Arabidopsis thaliana: one gene and its partners. The protein of the gene in region 3 interacts with the protein of the main gene of each other region in a pairwise test. Each region holds a gene or a part of one and is shown on either strand. Other genes may lie near its edges.

The links. The genes of interacting proteins can lie anywhere in the genome.
Region 1: the proteins of TRX5 (region 3) and AT4G22830 interact in a protein complementation assay, tested with the Arabidopsis thaliana proteins (one large-scale study listed by BioGRID).
Region 2: the proteins of TRX5 (region 3) and Cand3 interact in a protein complementation assay, tested with the Arabidopsis thaliana proteins (one large-scale study listed by BioGRID).

What each region holds. Positions count from the first base shown.
Region 1 is NC_003075.7:11,989,338-11,993,695, reverse strand, and holds AT4G22830 (YCF49-like protein), read left to right. Parts: upstream 1-2,267; 5' UTR 2,268-2,288; coding exon 2,289-2,394; coding exon of another isoform or gene 2,395-2,452; coding exon 2,453-2,690; intron 2,691-2,961; coding exon 2,962-3,040; intron 3,041-3,114; coding exon 3,115-3,183; intron 3,184-3,286; coding exon 3,287-3,400; 3' UTR 3,401-3,632; downstream 3,633-4,358. Other genes in the region: AT4G22840 (Sodium Bile acid symporter family), read left to right, coding at 20-182, 291-376, 640-764, 862-1,055, 1,133-1,385, 1,483-1,736, 1,830-1,912, 1,989-2,060.
Region 2 is NC_003074.8:21,837,003-21,843,489, forward strand, and holds Cand3 (tobamovirus multiplication protein), read left to right. Parts: upstream 1-2,182; 5' UTR 2,183-2,331; coding exon 2,332-2,454; intron 2,455-2,932; coding exon of another isoform or gene 2,933-2,960; coding exon 2,961-3,011; exon of another isoform or gene 3,012-3,120; coding exon 3,121-3,154; intron 3,155-3,245; coding exon 3,246-3,332; intron 3,333-3,424; coding exon 3,425-3,476; intron 3,477-3,576; coding exon 3,577-3,760; intron 3,761-3,845; coding exon 3,846-3,941; intron 3,942-4,061; coding exon 4,062-4,122; intron 4,123-4,265; coding exon 4,266-4,330; intron 4,331-4,422; coding exon 4,423-4,497; intron 4,498-4,586; coding exon 4,587-4,662; intron 4,663-4,739; coding exon 4,740-4,915; intron 4,916-5,322; coding exon of another isoform or gene 5,323-5,346; exon of another isoform or gene 5,347-5,405; coding exon 5,406-5,447; 3' UTR 5,448-5,761; downstream 5,762-6,487. Other genes in the region: AT3G59080 (Eukaryotic aspartyl protease family protein), read left to right, coding at 1-1,417; GSL11 (glucan synthase-like 11), read left to right, coding at 6,405-6,487.
Region 3 is NC_003070.9:17,074,097-17,078,538, reverse strand, and holds TRX5 (thioredoxin H-type 5), read left to right. Parts: upstream 1-2,121; 5' UTR 2,122-2,282; coding exon 2,283-2,369; intron 2,370-3,005; coding exon 3,006-3,275; 3' UTR 3,276-3,597; downstream 3,598-4,442. Other genes in the region: AT1G45150 (alpha-1,6-mannosyl-glycoprotein 2-beta-N-acetylglucosaminyltransferase), read left to right, coding at 307-480, 559-681, 760-924.

The sequences.
Region 1 (4,358 bases), on a different chromosome or scaffold from region 3:
CAAAGTCCAAAGAAAAAAAATGAGCGTGATCACAACTCCAATAGAGACCCTGCACCTAAAGTCAACACTTCGTCTTCTACCACGAGCTGTTTATCGCAGTCAACGGATTCAAGTTTTCCCGCCCAACATCTTCTCGAACACTTCTCTGAGTTCTCCACTTCGCATCGACCCAATCTCTCAAGGTTTGTTCATCTTACTCTCATCGATCCTCAGGCGTTTATGCTTGTTGGGTACCTGCAAAATTTACACTTTCTTCTCTCATGGTTTTCTTCAACCTACTATATACACAGTTGGCGGATCGAGGAATTTGTGGCGTAGATATGCATCTGATAATTTCTCGGAGATGGGTTTGGATCCTGGAGCTGATCCATTCAAGGTGTGCGCTATGGGATCTTTCCTTTTCCATTCTATGTTATGTTGGGTTTGAATAGTCTTCTCAAAATGTGTCATCTTTAATGTCAAAATGTGATTTTGCACTATTGAAGACTTGTTAATTATCCTACTTTTGAATCTGATTAGCTAAAAATCATCCCTGGATCACAGTTTTGCTACTTTGTTCTTCGTTTGCTGATGATTTCAGTTGTTAAGAATTTTATGTTACTTCCGAGAACCAACATGAATCTAGTAAGTGGCTTGCAGGTTATTGAGAAGCCTTCTATAGTGGATAGAATGAAGAAAGCAAACTCAATTCTTCCTCATGTAGTGTTGGCGAGTACAATATTAGCTCTTATCTATCCTCCTTCTTTCACTTGGTTTACGTCGAGGTTCTTCCCATTGGAACAAGGTCAAATTGATCTAAGACTTTGAATTGTAGACATGAGGTTTGCTAAAAAGCTCTTCTTTACTCTCCTGTTATTTTAGGTACTTTGTGCCCGCTTTAGGTTTTTTGATGTTTGCGGTTGGTATCAATTCAAACGAGAAAGACTTTCTTGAAGCTTTCAAAAGACCAAAAGCTATCCTCCTCGGTTATGTTGGACAATATCTCGTAAAGCCTGTCCTAGGTTTCATCTTTGGCCTAGCTGCTGTTTCTCTTTTCCAACTCCCAACTCCAATTGGTAAAAGCTCCCTGTCTCTCATCATTCAAGACTCTTAACCTATCTCTCACATTAACCAATCTTTCTCAATCTCTCAGGTGCTGGAATCATGTTGGTATCATGTGTTAGTGGAGCTCAGTTGTCAAACTATGCGACATTCCTAACTGATCCAGCATTGGCACCTCTTAGCATCGTCATGACATCTCTATCAACCGCTACTGCGGTTCTTGTCACACCGATGCTATCACTCCTGCTCATTGGGAAGAAACTACCCGTTGATGTAAAAGGAATGATATCCAGCATTCTTCAGGTTGTAATCGCACCAATCGCTGCAGGATTGCTACTAAACAAGTGAGAGATATAGCTACAAGCCTACAACTAGAAATAACCACAAGTTGTTTCTCTAAGTATAACCATTTTTATCTCCTTTTTGTTTCTTCTTTTACAGGTTGTTCCCAAAAGTATCAAATGCAATCCGACCATTTCTCCCGATTCTATCGGTTCTCGACACAGCTTGCTGCGTTGGAGCACCACTCGCATTGAACATAAACTCGGTCATGTCTCCATTTGGAGCCACCATATTGTTACTAGTAACAATGTTTCATCTCTCAGCTTTCCTCGCTGGATACTTCCTTACCGGTTCTGTCTTTAGAAACGCTCCAGACGCTAAAGCCATGCAAAGAACATTGTCCTATGAAACTGGTACTAACTCTTTATGGTATTGGAAAATCTTATCAAGAAAGTACAATTTGGTTTAAAGATTTGAGAAGAGAAATGTGTTTGTGAATATATCAGGAATGCAGAGTAGCCTTTTGGCTCTAGCGCTTGCTACTAAGTTCTTTCAAGATCCTCTTGTGGGGATTCCTCCTGCTATATCTGTAAGTCTCATATCCTTTTGACATAGCATAATCTTTTATTGATGATGATTATAGAGATTTTTGTTTTGTTTTGCAGACGGTGGTAATGTCATTGATGGGGTTCACTCTCGTTTTGATCTGGTCTAAGGAAAAGAGTAACACATTTTAACATTTTGATTTTGTTTCACTCCACATTTTGATTATACATATATATATGTACTACAAATAATTGGAAAATTCTTCTTGTAATATAAATAATTCAATACAGAATTTGAGATTTTTAATGTACTAATCTCCATTTTGTCTTTATATTTTTCTCTTCAACTTCAAAGATGGGAAGTAATTAGAAAAACCAGAATTTGTTAATAAACCGATTAGTTTAATTTTGTTTGTGAAAATGATAAAAGACGGTTCAACAGCAAACCGGTTTAAAATTAAACCAGAACTTGGGAATTGGAAATTGGAGAAAAATCTCAGCCATGGCGATTGCTTCAACAGCCACCGTTCTTTTCTGCTGCGCCAAACCCAATTTCCGGCGAATTCATTCTGAGAGCCGTCCAGCTTCTTCTCTCACCACCTCTAACGAACCTGTAATTCGGATCCGAAGCCGCAGTTTAATTCATGACCCGGTTGCGCTGTCGGGTCTTATCGGAACCAGTTTGGTTGCGGCTGCTTTCATCACGGCGGGACCAGATGCTACTGCTTTGGCGGCGGTGGTGGATTCTCTTCAGCTAAGCGAACCGTCCAATGCGTTGTCTTTACCCACTTGGGCCGTTCATGTTTCCAGCGTTGTCGAATGGTTCTCTTCTTCTTCCTTTGCTTTATTGATTGAAATTCTCACTTAGAAAACATTTGACATTTGATCTATAGTGACACAAGAGAGTATTTGATGTTGTGGGTTTTTCGAGTTTTTGATATCATTATGAGAGAAGCTTCATCTACATATAAAGTCTCGATCTTTCACTCACAATGTAGATTAAGCTTCTCTCATTATGGTTTGAAATGCAGTTGGAGCTAACAAACAAGAAAAATGTAATGTCTTTCTAATTCTGGTGTTGTTTTTACTAAAGGATTACGGCGATGGCATTGGTATGGAAGTATGGAGAAAGAAAGGGTTATGAGTCTTGGAAAGGTCTCTCATGGGGAATGGTGAGAAAGCTCTAAGCCGTTTTCCTAGATTACATGATTTCATTTTTCTGAGCTTTTTGGTTGTTCTTAATCAGGTACCTTTGCTTGGTGGAGCTCTCTGTGCATGCACATGGCATTTCTTCTACAACGATGAATCTCTTGAGGTCAAGAAACTCTTGACTCCAACTTTTAGCTATAAGTCTGTGATATGTTTCGTTTGCTTCTTCACTCCTACTTAATGGTGTAATTGTTGGACTGCATTATCAGGTGTTGGTCGCTCTTCAGGCAGCACTAACGGTGTTTGGTAATATCACTCTCTGCATTGCTGCCTTTCGGATCAACAAGTTGTCATCCAAAATTGAAGTCTCTGAAAAGCCATGATGGCTAAACCGATCAATATGAGCAAAGTATAATTGAATTATTAATTGGAGGATCACTAAGATTCTTTTCCCCTTTGAAAAGTTCTATGAGATTCTATGTCAACGATTTAAGTATATTATATAGTCTTTATATGAGGAAGATCCATGTGCATTCAACCTATATCAGTAACCCAAGTTACACAGATTTAGTCTTATCCAGAATCTAGAGTTTGAATTAAATTATAAATTTTGGTTACGTGATCATAAGAACTTCTCCATTTTTGTATAAATGAGATCAAGAAAACAGAAGAAAGAAAGTGCCAAAACTGATAACGTTTTTCCCAGTGTGGCAAGTTTGGCTAAAATTATAAATAAAAGTAGACATCAAAATGCAGATATTGAGATTATCTTAACTCAAAATGCAGATATTGAACGTTTAACATTATCTGAACTAATTATCTTGTTTTGTTATATCATCTTAAATCGAGACCATATATAGTAAAACATGCCAACAAACTCAATCTAGTTAGTTGAAGAAAATCATTGTGTATAACTTACATCTGTCACACACAAAATTGAATCTTTACGTGGGACAGTACGACAATTTTTTTTTTTTTTAAATCCGAATCTCTTGAAGTTAAAAACTATAAGCAAAAATGTGGGGTGGTTGAGCTATTTCTGGTTAGGATCTTAATAAGAAGAAAAAAAATGAACGTAAGTACATAAGTTTAAAATAATAAAATTTTCGAATTATTAAAATAAGATACCAAGTTCCACTTAAATCTTGACAACGCGTTAATCGTGTTTAGACCAAGCCAGGGCGTGATGAAGAAGGCATATCTTATCTTTATCTTCCCCAAAAGTCCACCAATAATACCATCTTAATCATTACTTAAACAACCCCAAAGGCCATTTATACATTTAAATTTGTTAATTTTACCTATTAGTTTGTACTCCTATTATGGGAAAAAAAAACCTAC
Region 2 (6,487 bases), on a different chromosome or scaffold from region 3:
CCCTGAGAAAGAACCCACCAAGGAACGGACCGGAGAAAACAAGACGGTGAAGTTTCACTTAAAGCGCCGGGAGACTACGACTACAGAGAAGGCAACAACAAATTCAGTTCTTGAGCTTCAAATCCGAGATCTCACAAGAATTCAGACGCTTCACAAAAGAGTTTTGGAGAAGAACAACCAAAACACTGTTTCGCAGAAGCAGAAGAAGAATGATAAAGAAGTTGTTACCACTACTCCGGTGGCTTCTTCCGTGGAGGAGCAGGCTGGTCAATTGGTGGCAACACTTGAGTCTGGTATGACTCTCGGTTCTGGCGAGTACTTCATGGACGTGTTGGTTGGTTCGCCACCAAAACACTTCTCCTTGATTCTTGATACAGGGAGTGACTTAAACTGGATTCAATGCTTGCCTTGCTACGACTGTTTCCAGCAAAACGGTGCGTTTTATGACCCTAAAGCCTCTGCTTCTTACAAGAACATAACTTGCAATGACCAAAGATGCAACCTAGTCTCATCACCTGACCCTCCAATGCCCTGCAAATCAGATAACCAATCATGCCCTTACTACTACTGGTATGGGGATAGCTCCAACACTACCGGAGATTTTGCAGTAGAGACTTTCACGGTTAACCTCACGACAAATGGAGGGAGCTCGGAGTTGTATAATGTTGAAAATATGATGTTCGGTTGCGGTCATTGGAACCGAGGTCTCTTCCATGGTGCTGCAGGCTTGCTTGGTTTAGGAAGAGGCCCGCTTTCGTTTTCCTCTCAGCTTCAGTCTCTTTATGGTCATTCCTTCTCTTATTGCCTTGTCGACAGAAACAGCGATACCAACGTTAGTAGCAAACTGATTTTCGGAGAAGACAAGGATTTGTTAAGTCACCCGAATCTGAACTTCACTTCTTTTGTCGCTGGGAAAGAAAACCTCGTCGACACATTTTACTACGTACAAATCAAATCCATTCTAGTCGCGGGAGAAGTTCTAAACATACCTGAAGAAACATGGAATATCTCATCAGATGGAGCTGGAGGGACGATCATTGATTCAGGTACAACCTTAAGTTACTTCGCAGAACCTGCATATGAATTCATCAAGAACAAGATTGCTGAGAAAGCTAAAGGGAAGTATCCGGTCTATAGAGATTTTCCAATCCTAGATCCTTGCTTCAACGTCTCTGGCATTCATAACGTTCAGCTGCCAGAGCTTGGGATTGCTTTTGCAGATGGCGCTGTTTGGAACTTCCCGACAGAGAATTCTTTCATATGGTTGAATGAGGATTTGGTTTGCTTGGCAATGCTAGGAACTCCCAAATCAGCATTTTCAATCATTGGAAACTACCAGCAGCAGAATTTTCATATACTCTATGATACAAAGAGGTCTAGGCTCGGGTATGCACCTACAAAGTGTGCAGATATATAATCTTTCTTGTCGATTTTTAAGTCCATCAAAGCAACTGAACACACAATAAGAACAGATTCATTTTTTTCCCTTTAGATTTTTTCATTCTTTAGGATATTCCTTCAAACATGTAATGTATTTGCTGTAGAACAAAGATCATACCAAACTAATGTACTTATTCAAATTCATTTCTGAATACAAAGTGATTTAATTTTGCTTGCTACATGCATTTTCTCAAACTCTATAGTCTACCATCAATGACAAGTAAATTTGTAGTCACTGGAATTGTCAAAGTTTGATTAGTAATCCCTGAATTGTTTGTGAGTTTAGGACTCACTTTGGTAAGGTTTTAAGGCAAAGGAGTTGTCAAATCATCGTCTTTGTTGATCCAATTTGAAAGAAATGCAGAAAATCTAGAGAAATTGGAAACTAAAGAAGCTTGAGTCTATTGCAGAACACAAACTATACAAAAGAAATCGGATTATGTACCTGAGCATGGTCGGAGAAGAGAGTTGCAGAAAAGAGGTGTCTCTGTTTTGCAAAAATAACTCGTTTAGTTCTGATTTTTACAAAAAACCCTCATTTTACATCTTCTAACAATAATTAATAATTAATTTTAGTTAAAGAGATATTGATTACTTAATAATTCTTTTAAGCCAAGAGTAATTAATTAATTAATTTATGGCAGTAATTGTTGTATATTCTAGTGTGCCGTACCACTTGTAGCAATTAAATTTAGTAGATAGTATATTGTGTTGTCCAGGAAATATATAAATATAAAAAATAATTTTTATTTTTGTCTCTCAGACCAGACCCAACCCATCTCCTACAACCATCTGTCTCGGTGGTGTTCTTTGATCCTCTCTCTCTTACAAACCTAAAATCTAGGCATTCGATCTCTTGGGGAGGATCGAGAAGAAAAGAGCGGATTCACGATGAAGATCTTAGCGACTCTTTTCGAATCAACCAAGGATAAATGCTATGCTCCTAGCTTCATCGCCGTCAATCTCTGTTTGGCTTTTATCGATGCCGCTCTTGCTTTCATCGCATTCCTTCAGGTTCTGATTCTTGGTTCTTCTGATTTCCTGAAAGAAAAAGAAAAAATCAGTCTTGATTTGTGAATGCTAGATTGTGTGTGACCGTTAAGGCCTGTTCGGACAGGTGAAGCATTGTGCTTATTGATTAAACGAGATGTGAGATTATTGATTCTTGATGTTGAATTTAATGAATTGGTTGATTTCAGTCTTTAGAGTTGTGTGTCTGTTGTTCATGTGGTTGACCATTAAGTTTAAAGGTCAACTCTATGAATAACTCACGGAGCTGAAGTGTGTTTGTGTAGAATGAGAGATTTGGATTCAGGGAATCTGAATATGATATGAATTATTAGCATTAGAAAGTAGAATCTTTTTTTCTTTTTTAAGTGCTATGTGTGTAGATTAAGATGTTCTTTTCAAAGGTTCCTATGTAGTTTTAGACGGTGAAGTAATAAAAAAAAAGTCTTATTCTCTTCTTTTTTTGTGGGGTTTGGCTTATAAGATTTATCTTGGCTGCCTACTTCTTTCAGTTATCTCGATTTCACAGGCGGAATAAACAAGTTGGATGGACTCGGCAAAAAGTATTTCTTCTCATCCCAACCAATTTAGGCTCTATGTTATTGTTATATGGTTACAGTTATTGTTACTTTTCATGGCGTGTATCTGACACATCCATCATGAAAATTGCAGGTACTTCATCTTATGATTGCTTCTTCAAACACTGGTAAATCCTCAGTCATTTGTTGTTCAGGAACAATTATAATTGGGGGAAGTTTTAGCCAGTGAGTAAGGTCTCTATTCGTATATATTGGCAGGTTCTGTTATTTATTTCGTGGCTGCGGTTATAGCGACTTGCACAAGGTGGCATCATTGGTCCAACGCATTAGGTTTTCTACTCATGGGTAAATATTTCATTCCTTTGTGAAGGTTTGTGTATGTTTTTCATTGATTTGTCTTATAGTTAATTCCCTGATGAATCAAATTGTACTTGCAGCCTTTCCCAAAATTCTGTTTCTGGCAACTTTTCTCCTGCTTCTCTCTTTCTGGTATGTATATTCTCAATACTCTGATCATATTGTGTTGTCCCTGATTATTTTATCTTAATAATGATCTGAGATAAGACAATGATGCTTCTTCATGTTATAGGGTAGATGTTTGCCATCAGGGAAATGGAGAGGAGGATGATGATGATGATGAAGAAAATAGCATCCAACAAGTGTTGCTTGAAAAAAGCAAGAGCAAGCCAGGTTCTTCGAATGCAAGTGATCGTAGAAAGTGTTGCTCTTTCCATGGTATTCATGTTGGAACCCGGCAGAAGTTTGTTGTTGCGGTATGGGATACTTTCAGTTTTGTGCATTAACCTCTAGCCAAGTCATTTCTATGATCTTTATAAAAATGTTTATCTTTTTTGCTAGGCAATTATTCTTGTGTTCATCTTAATGATATCATTTGCAATCCTTATCTGGATCGCTTCCGGAAAGAATCCTATGAATTCTTCATTATTGGCTGAGGTATGTGGTATTCCTCTGCACATTGATATTTCCTCTTTCACTAAGTTCTTAAGCTCGAGAAATAGAAGACTTTTGTCTATATTTTTTCTGGTTTTATGATAAACTCACTTCCTTATATAGGTGTATGTCGATATTTTTGCTGCAATAATCCTAATCACTGGAGGAGGAATCTGCTTCTATGGTAAGTGATTTCTTAAGTTCTTTTCTGGTTTCAGCTATTCATATTTTTCTTCTAGCAATTCGTGAGATGTTTTGGTCAGTGGTTTACTGGCTTATTGCTATGATTGAACAGCGTATATTCACAAACTCTTTTATGTTCTTTAGGCCTGCGTCTGCTCTTTAATCTAAGAAAGGTGCGGTCTGAACAAGTTTCATCAGAGATGCGAAAGGTAACTAATGATTCTTTGGCTCAACAAGCTTTTCTTTCTTTGCACATGTCAGTCGAATCCTTACCCTGAAAGTACATTTTAACCATTTATAGGTATCGGGTCTAGCAGGAGTCTCAGTTGTTTGCTTCACTGTTAGCTCTTTAATCGCTCTTCTCACACACATTCCAGTAAGTCATTATCACTCAAAAAAGTATGTCTGTAAACCGAAACCTAACATTCGTCGATACATTTAACCAAAACCAATCTTTGATCTCAGCTCTTTTATCATTGGAACCCAAGCAAATTACACGGCATCAAAGCATTGGTTCTTCTGATCATATACTATTTCATAGGTGAAGATTTTTTTCTTTCGTTTTGTTGTTTTGAAGACCTTCAAATGCAGGGTTACTGATAAGAACGCTTTTTAAAGGTTCCACCGTCCCATTGGCTTTCGTTTTATGGGTTTTGCGGGAGTTACCCCCTCAAAACATTGTGAGTAGGCAAGAAGACACCAGAAGGATTACTTATGTCAACTATGAAACTGTTCCAAGGCAACCTCAAGGTCCTCAACAAGACTGGGCCTCCGCCACAGTGTCGAAAAATCAGGTATACAATTCTCTTGATGAACATCTAAATTAGGAAGTCATGTCTGACACATACAAGGAGTTTTATAGTAAGCTGTAAATGCATGCATCAGATAAACTAGGGGTGGGAATATAAACCGAAGCAAACCACAATATTTATAGCTAACTAACTCTATTTAGATAAGAAAAACTCAAACCGTATGCTCACTTTTAAGATAAACGCAATGTTGAGAGCATTCGAGAAAGGTTTGAACGAATTGCGGTCTGAACATGAATACATAGTTGAAACACTACGAAAAATCCTCAAATGAGAAAGAAGTTTTCATTCTATTAGTGACTTCTGAGGTTATTTCAGAGTTTCCTTTTTATCGACCATAGATTGTTTAGGGAGGTCACTTAACAGTTTTTGGTTCGGAAACGACGGCGCAGGTGTCTAAAGCAAGTCCTATATGAACCAAACAATCATCATAATCATTGACCTGAAGCAAACATCCGCCAATCTTCTTTTGTAGTTACCGGGAAAAAGCCTCGTGGGATTGCAGAATGGTTCTTAGGCCCAATGTGGTGTGTTGTGGTGGAGTGAATGAAAGTGGAAACAAGCTCGTTTTCTTCTCTCTGAGTCGCCTTGGAATACAAAAATTTGTTTATAAGATAGAAATGGAGGTTTGAATCTGAGAAAGCTGTCTGTAAATATTAACTTTTGATTGCAATTTATAGTTTAGCATCATGTGTTGGGGGGACTTGTGGATGGATATAAAATGTGTTCCAAGGAAGATATAATTTTGTCTTCCTTTCTAAACAGCGTCGTTTAAGCTGCTTTGTTATCATTTACATATACGACGACGCATCATTCTGGTTTTAAAGATGGCATATTACGTTTGAGATTAAACGCCACCGTTTTCGAAAGATAGCACGGGCATTATACGATGTCGTATTGCTTCCTCTTTCGAAAATTTGTTAGCGCGATTTTGTTAAACTTTTAGCGCCATTTTTTTTCACATTAAAAATTTGAGACCCCGAAACGGTATCGTTTGTTGGATGTTATCCTAAAATTGACGGATCTGATATGAAAAAAAAAATCCTTAAAAAAACCGTTTGAGAACTTTTTGGATATTTGTGGTCTTCTCTTTTCGTCTTTCTTCTCCACTGTCACCTTCCTCGCTAAGCAAAAGAATTTAGAGAGAGCTTCGTACTATGCCCAGAGAAAAAAGCAAAAAGCGAGAGCCAAAAAGATAAGAAAGATCAAAAGATGAAAAAGCTTAGACGTAAAAAAGCAGAAATATATGTATATAGAATTAACAAGTCTCTCGAAGAAAACCCTTTAGCCATCTTTATCAATCTCTTTTCTTTTGCGTTCTCTATAAAGTTGGTATAAAAGGAGATCAATTAACAAATATGTTAATCGATTACTTTGATTTCAGTGAGATTTTTGATTTCACGAATAAATTATTGGGTTTTTGTGGAGGAGGAGAGGGTGGTAGTAGTAATTATAGTTTCGATTCACGGTGGATATGGAAGCTAGTTCGAGTGGAACGGCGGAGTTGCCGCGGTCTCTTTCTCGGAGAGCTCCGTCGCGTGCGACTACTATGATGAT
Region 3 (4,442 bases):
TTCTCAATGAGGTTTGAAATCGTCTGGTCCATACACCTGAAGTATACTTAACTGAATAGAAATAAAGACTAGAGTTTGGTCAATATAGTTAATTAGTTATCATAAGCTTTGAAAACGTTTGCACGTGTACATGAATACATCTAGCTTTGGTAGTAATGGAATCATCATATGTCGATCAAAGTACTGTAGTTATGGAATGGTTAAATTTGATTCAAGGTCATCTTAATGATGTGCTCATTAGTGGTCCTGTATGTGTTAGCATTTTAGCAACAAGAATCATAAAGAGGACTTTTCTTGCTGGTGCAGGAATGGTGGACATACATATGCCTTGGACCTTCAGATCCTCACCCAAATTGGCATCTGGGGATGCGTGGTACACAGCAACGGGCAGTGATGTGGCGTGTGTGGAAAGAAGGTGGAACCGGGTTCTTGTACTGGGGTGCAAATTGCTATGAGAAGGCAACGGTTCCAAGCGCCGAGGTTATTTTCTTATCCTTAGTTCTGTTGTAAATGTTTCTTGATCGATTGCTTCATGATATTATATAACCAAATGAATAGGTAAAGTTTAGGCGCGGTCTTCCTCCTGGTGATGGAGTTCTTTACTACCCCGGTGAAGTTTTCTCATCTTCTTCAGAGCCAGTTGCTTCACTTAGGCTAGAGCGCCTTCTTAGTGGCTTACAGGTACGTCAACTTTATAGTTTTACCAATCAGATAACAACGAAAAACTGTTCCAGTTGGCTTATTTGGAGAATGAATCAGGATTATGAGTACTTGAAGCTGTATGAGTCAAAATACGGAAGAGAGGAAGCGATGGGGCTATTGGAGAAGACAGGGGTGTACACGGGGCCGGAGCGCTACACTTTGGAACATAGACCGATCGATGTATTGCGAGGAGAAGTGTACAACACATGTAGACCATCTTGAGTAACCAGATCGTTTAGTATCTATAAACACTCTCGGTTAGCCCTAAGTTAATAATAAAAGAACATAACAAGAAAACTCTAACAATGTCTAGATTACCAGTGAAAAAGGTTAATTAGTATGAAAATAATAAAATAGATAGATTTGCTTTGTACTTCTGATTCTTTAATTTGTTGGGAAATACTGTATCTGAAAAAGCTCATTTTATGTGGTGCTAGGTTGATATCATTCATCATAGTCACGTATGAATGGAAGGGCACAAGACATAATCATCCAACAAAAAAGGATATAAAACCTACACTGACTAAAAATTAGGAAAAAATGTTATTTAATCCCCAACTTTCAAAAAATGGCCATTTTATTCGTCAACTTCGTATGCGGTCGTTTAAAACATGAACTAAACGTTGACTAACTTTTAAAACATGATCATTCGTCGACCAGGCCAAAATAGACATGATGTTATCAGTTATTAACGGAACTTCTAACGTCTGTTATCATCTGTTAACGACTTTATTAGTCAAGTTTTAAATTGTGGTCATTTTAAACATCAACTTGGCCATTTAAAACATGAACTAAACGTTGACTACCATTTAAGATATGAACAATTCGTTGACCTGACCAAAATAGACATGTTTTTATCAGTAATTAATAGAACCTAGAAACCCGTTATTATCCGTTAGTGACTGTTAATCAGTCTAAAACGACGTCGTTTGAGAATAAAATTAGTGTCAAAGCGTAAACACACATACAGCCAGCTCTCGGTTCTATCATTAGTGAAAGAACATTACTAGAATTTGATTTATTAGAGGAATAAAGAAGATTGATCAAAAACAGCTTGCATTATTATTCAAAACATAAATCTAGCATATTATAGATAATATTTTTCTTATTGTCTTAGATAAAGTTTCCATTCAACTTTGCACGTCTAAAAGCTCGGAATAGTCCACAAATTATCACATAGAAAAAAACTTATATTCGTGCCGACAAAAACAAACGTTACTTTTTTATATCTGCAAGGACGAGAAAAGAACGGATAAACTCATATATCGTGCACACAAAACATGCGTGTCTTCTACATCTAGAACTGTCGTTACTCGTTACCATCATCACGCCGTTGACCTAGACTCATGCCTATTCTTTAATCGTTTAATATAAACCGTTGGATCCCTTCACACTCCTACGCGTCAAGATCGAACTCATTTTAGGAAAATAATTAAAAAAAAAGACCGAGAAGAGGTAGAGGTATAGGTGGTCAAGTCTTGCCTATAAAAGCTGATCCCAACAAGAATAATTCTTTCATTCACCAAAAAAAACTCATCAATCAAACAAAACTCTTAAAAGCTTAAGAACAAATAATAAAAATGGCCGGTGAAGGAGAAGTGATTGCTTGCCATACCCTCGAAGTTTGGAACGAGAAGGTCAAAGACGCCAATGAATCCAAGAAACTGGTACTTTTCTCTTCTTCTCCTCTCTAGGGTTTCTTCTTCTATTTGATTTGATTACTTTACTTAGGGTTTTCAGTTTTCTTGATCTAGTGGTAAACTGGTAATTCATGTTAGATACAAAACCTTGGTTTTTATCATGTTCATGTACCATGTCTTGATTTGGTCTGAAATTTGATAGAAACTGGTATTTTCTCGTCCTGTCTAGGGTTTTTTTTGTTTTTTAATTTGAGTTGGTTACGTTACTTAGGGTTTAGGGCTTTCTTGGTTAGTTAGCTTAATGGTGAATGATGTTCGAGAAACGGTTGCTTTTGATCCCGTTCTTGTCCCATATCTTGCTCTGGTGGTCCCAAATTGATAGAAGCTAGAACTTTCTCTTGTCCTGTCTAGGGTTTTGTTCAATTTGATTTGATTACTTTACTTAGGGATTACGGTTCGTCTTGATTAGCTACCTTAGTGGTGAATGATAATTGTATCCTGATATGGTCTGAAATTATAGAAACTTTACTTTCTCTTGTTATGTCCAGGGCTTTTTTTCAATTTGATTTGATTACGTTATGGTTTAGGGTTTTCTTGATTAGTTAGTTTAGTGGTGAATGATGTTTGTGTTCTGATTTGTTCTGAAATTTTGATTGAAACCAGATTGTGATAGACTTCACAGCATCATGGTGTCCACCTTGCCGTTTCATTGCACCAGTGTTTGCAGAGATGGCTAAGAAGTTCACTAATGTTGTCTTCTTCAAGATCGATGTTGATGAATTGCAAGCTGTTGCTCAGGAATTCAAAGTTGAGGCAATGCCTACTTTTGTTTTCATGAAAGAAGGCAACATCATTGATCGTGTTGTCGGTGCTGCGAAAGATGAGATCAATGAGAAGCTGATGAAGCATGGTGGTCTTGTAGCTTCTGCTTGATTGATTTCAGTTTCTAACTCTTTGCATCATAATAAAGTTTTTATCTTTCGTATGAAATAAAAGTGATGCATTGCTACTGCACATTTGTATTATAACTATGTTGATTTTTCGATTACTGGTTTGTTATCTCTTGGCTTCAACCACGAACACGAAAATAGCGACACACATTAAGACTGGTTTTAAACACGATAAGAGAGCGTAGGTTGAAAATATGTAGTTATGAACAGAGCAGTGATTAGTTCTCTGATTTCCACTATAAATGTGTGAAAATGTTATGTAATACTATGGAAAAATCACTTTCAACAGCTCATATTTCTCCATCTACGTCACGTCTATATCTCTTTAAGTTCCTTGAAGTTTTATCCAACGTTTCTCTGTTTTTATCCTTGAACAAGAACTGAAACAGAGAAAACAAGAGAAGATGAAGCTGACCTGTAGATTCAAACATTTCCCTATGCTCTTTAGATCCAAAGCCAGCCGCTCGTTCCCTCTAGGCGCGTCAGAGTAGGCCTGTCGATGGGACTAGCATAGACACATAGTGACTCTACTTGAACAAGCGTCAGACTGCATACAGCAGGTTAGAGCTGGTAGGACTTGGTTAGTGATCCACTACAAAAATAATCCATATCAATAGCACACGAGGATAGATCAGTTTTCCCTACTGCAATAAAAGATGAGTTCATAGTTCATATTAAAAATGAGTTCATAGATGCGGCACAGAGAGATGATTCGAGAACAAGTGAGGAGATAACGGATTTAACAATACGGTTGAAGGAGGCTTATATAGATGAAGAACAATATTGGTACCAGAAAAGTAGGAGTTTATGGATGAAGGTTGGGGATAATAACTCAAAATATTTCCATGCTCTAACAAAACAGAGACGGGCTAGGAATCGGATCATAGGACTTCATGATGAAAATGGAAAATGGTTTGCAGAGGATAAAGATGTCCAACATATAGCGGTGTCTTATTTTGAGACTTTGTTTAATAAGTCGAATCCCCAGAATATTGCGGAATCTTTATCAGAGGTTAAAACTTTAATAACGGATCAAATAAATGACTTCTTAACGACACCTGCTACAGAAGATGAGGTAAGAGCGGCTTTGTTTTTGATGCACCCGGAAAAAGCACCAGGGCCTGATGGTATGACAGCGTTATTCTTTCAA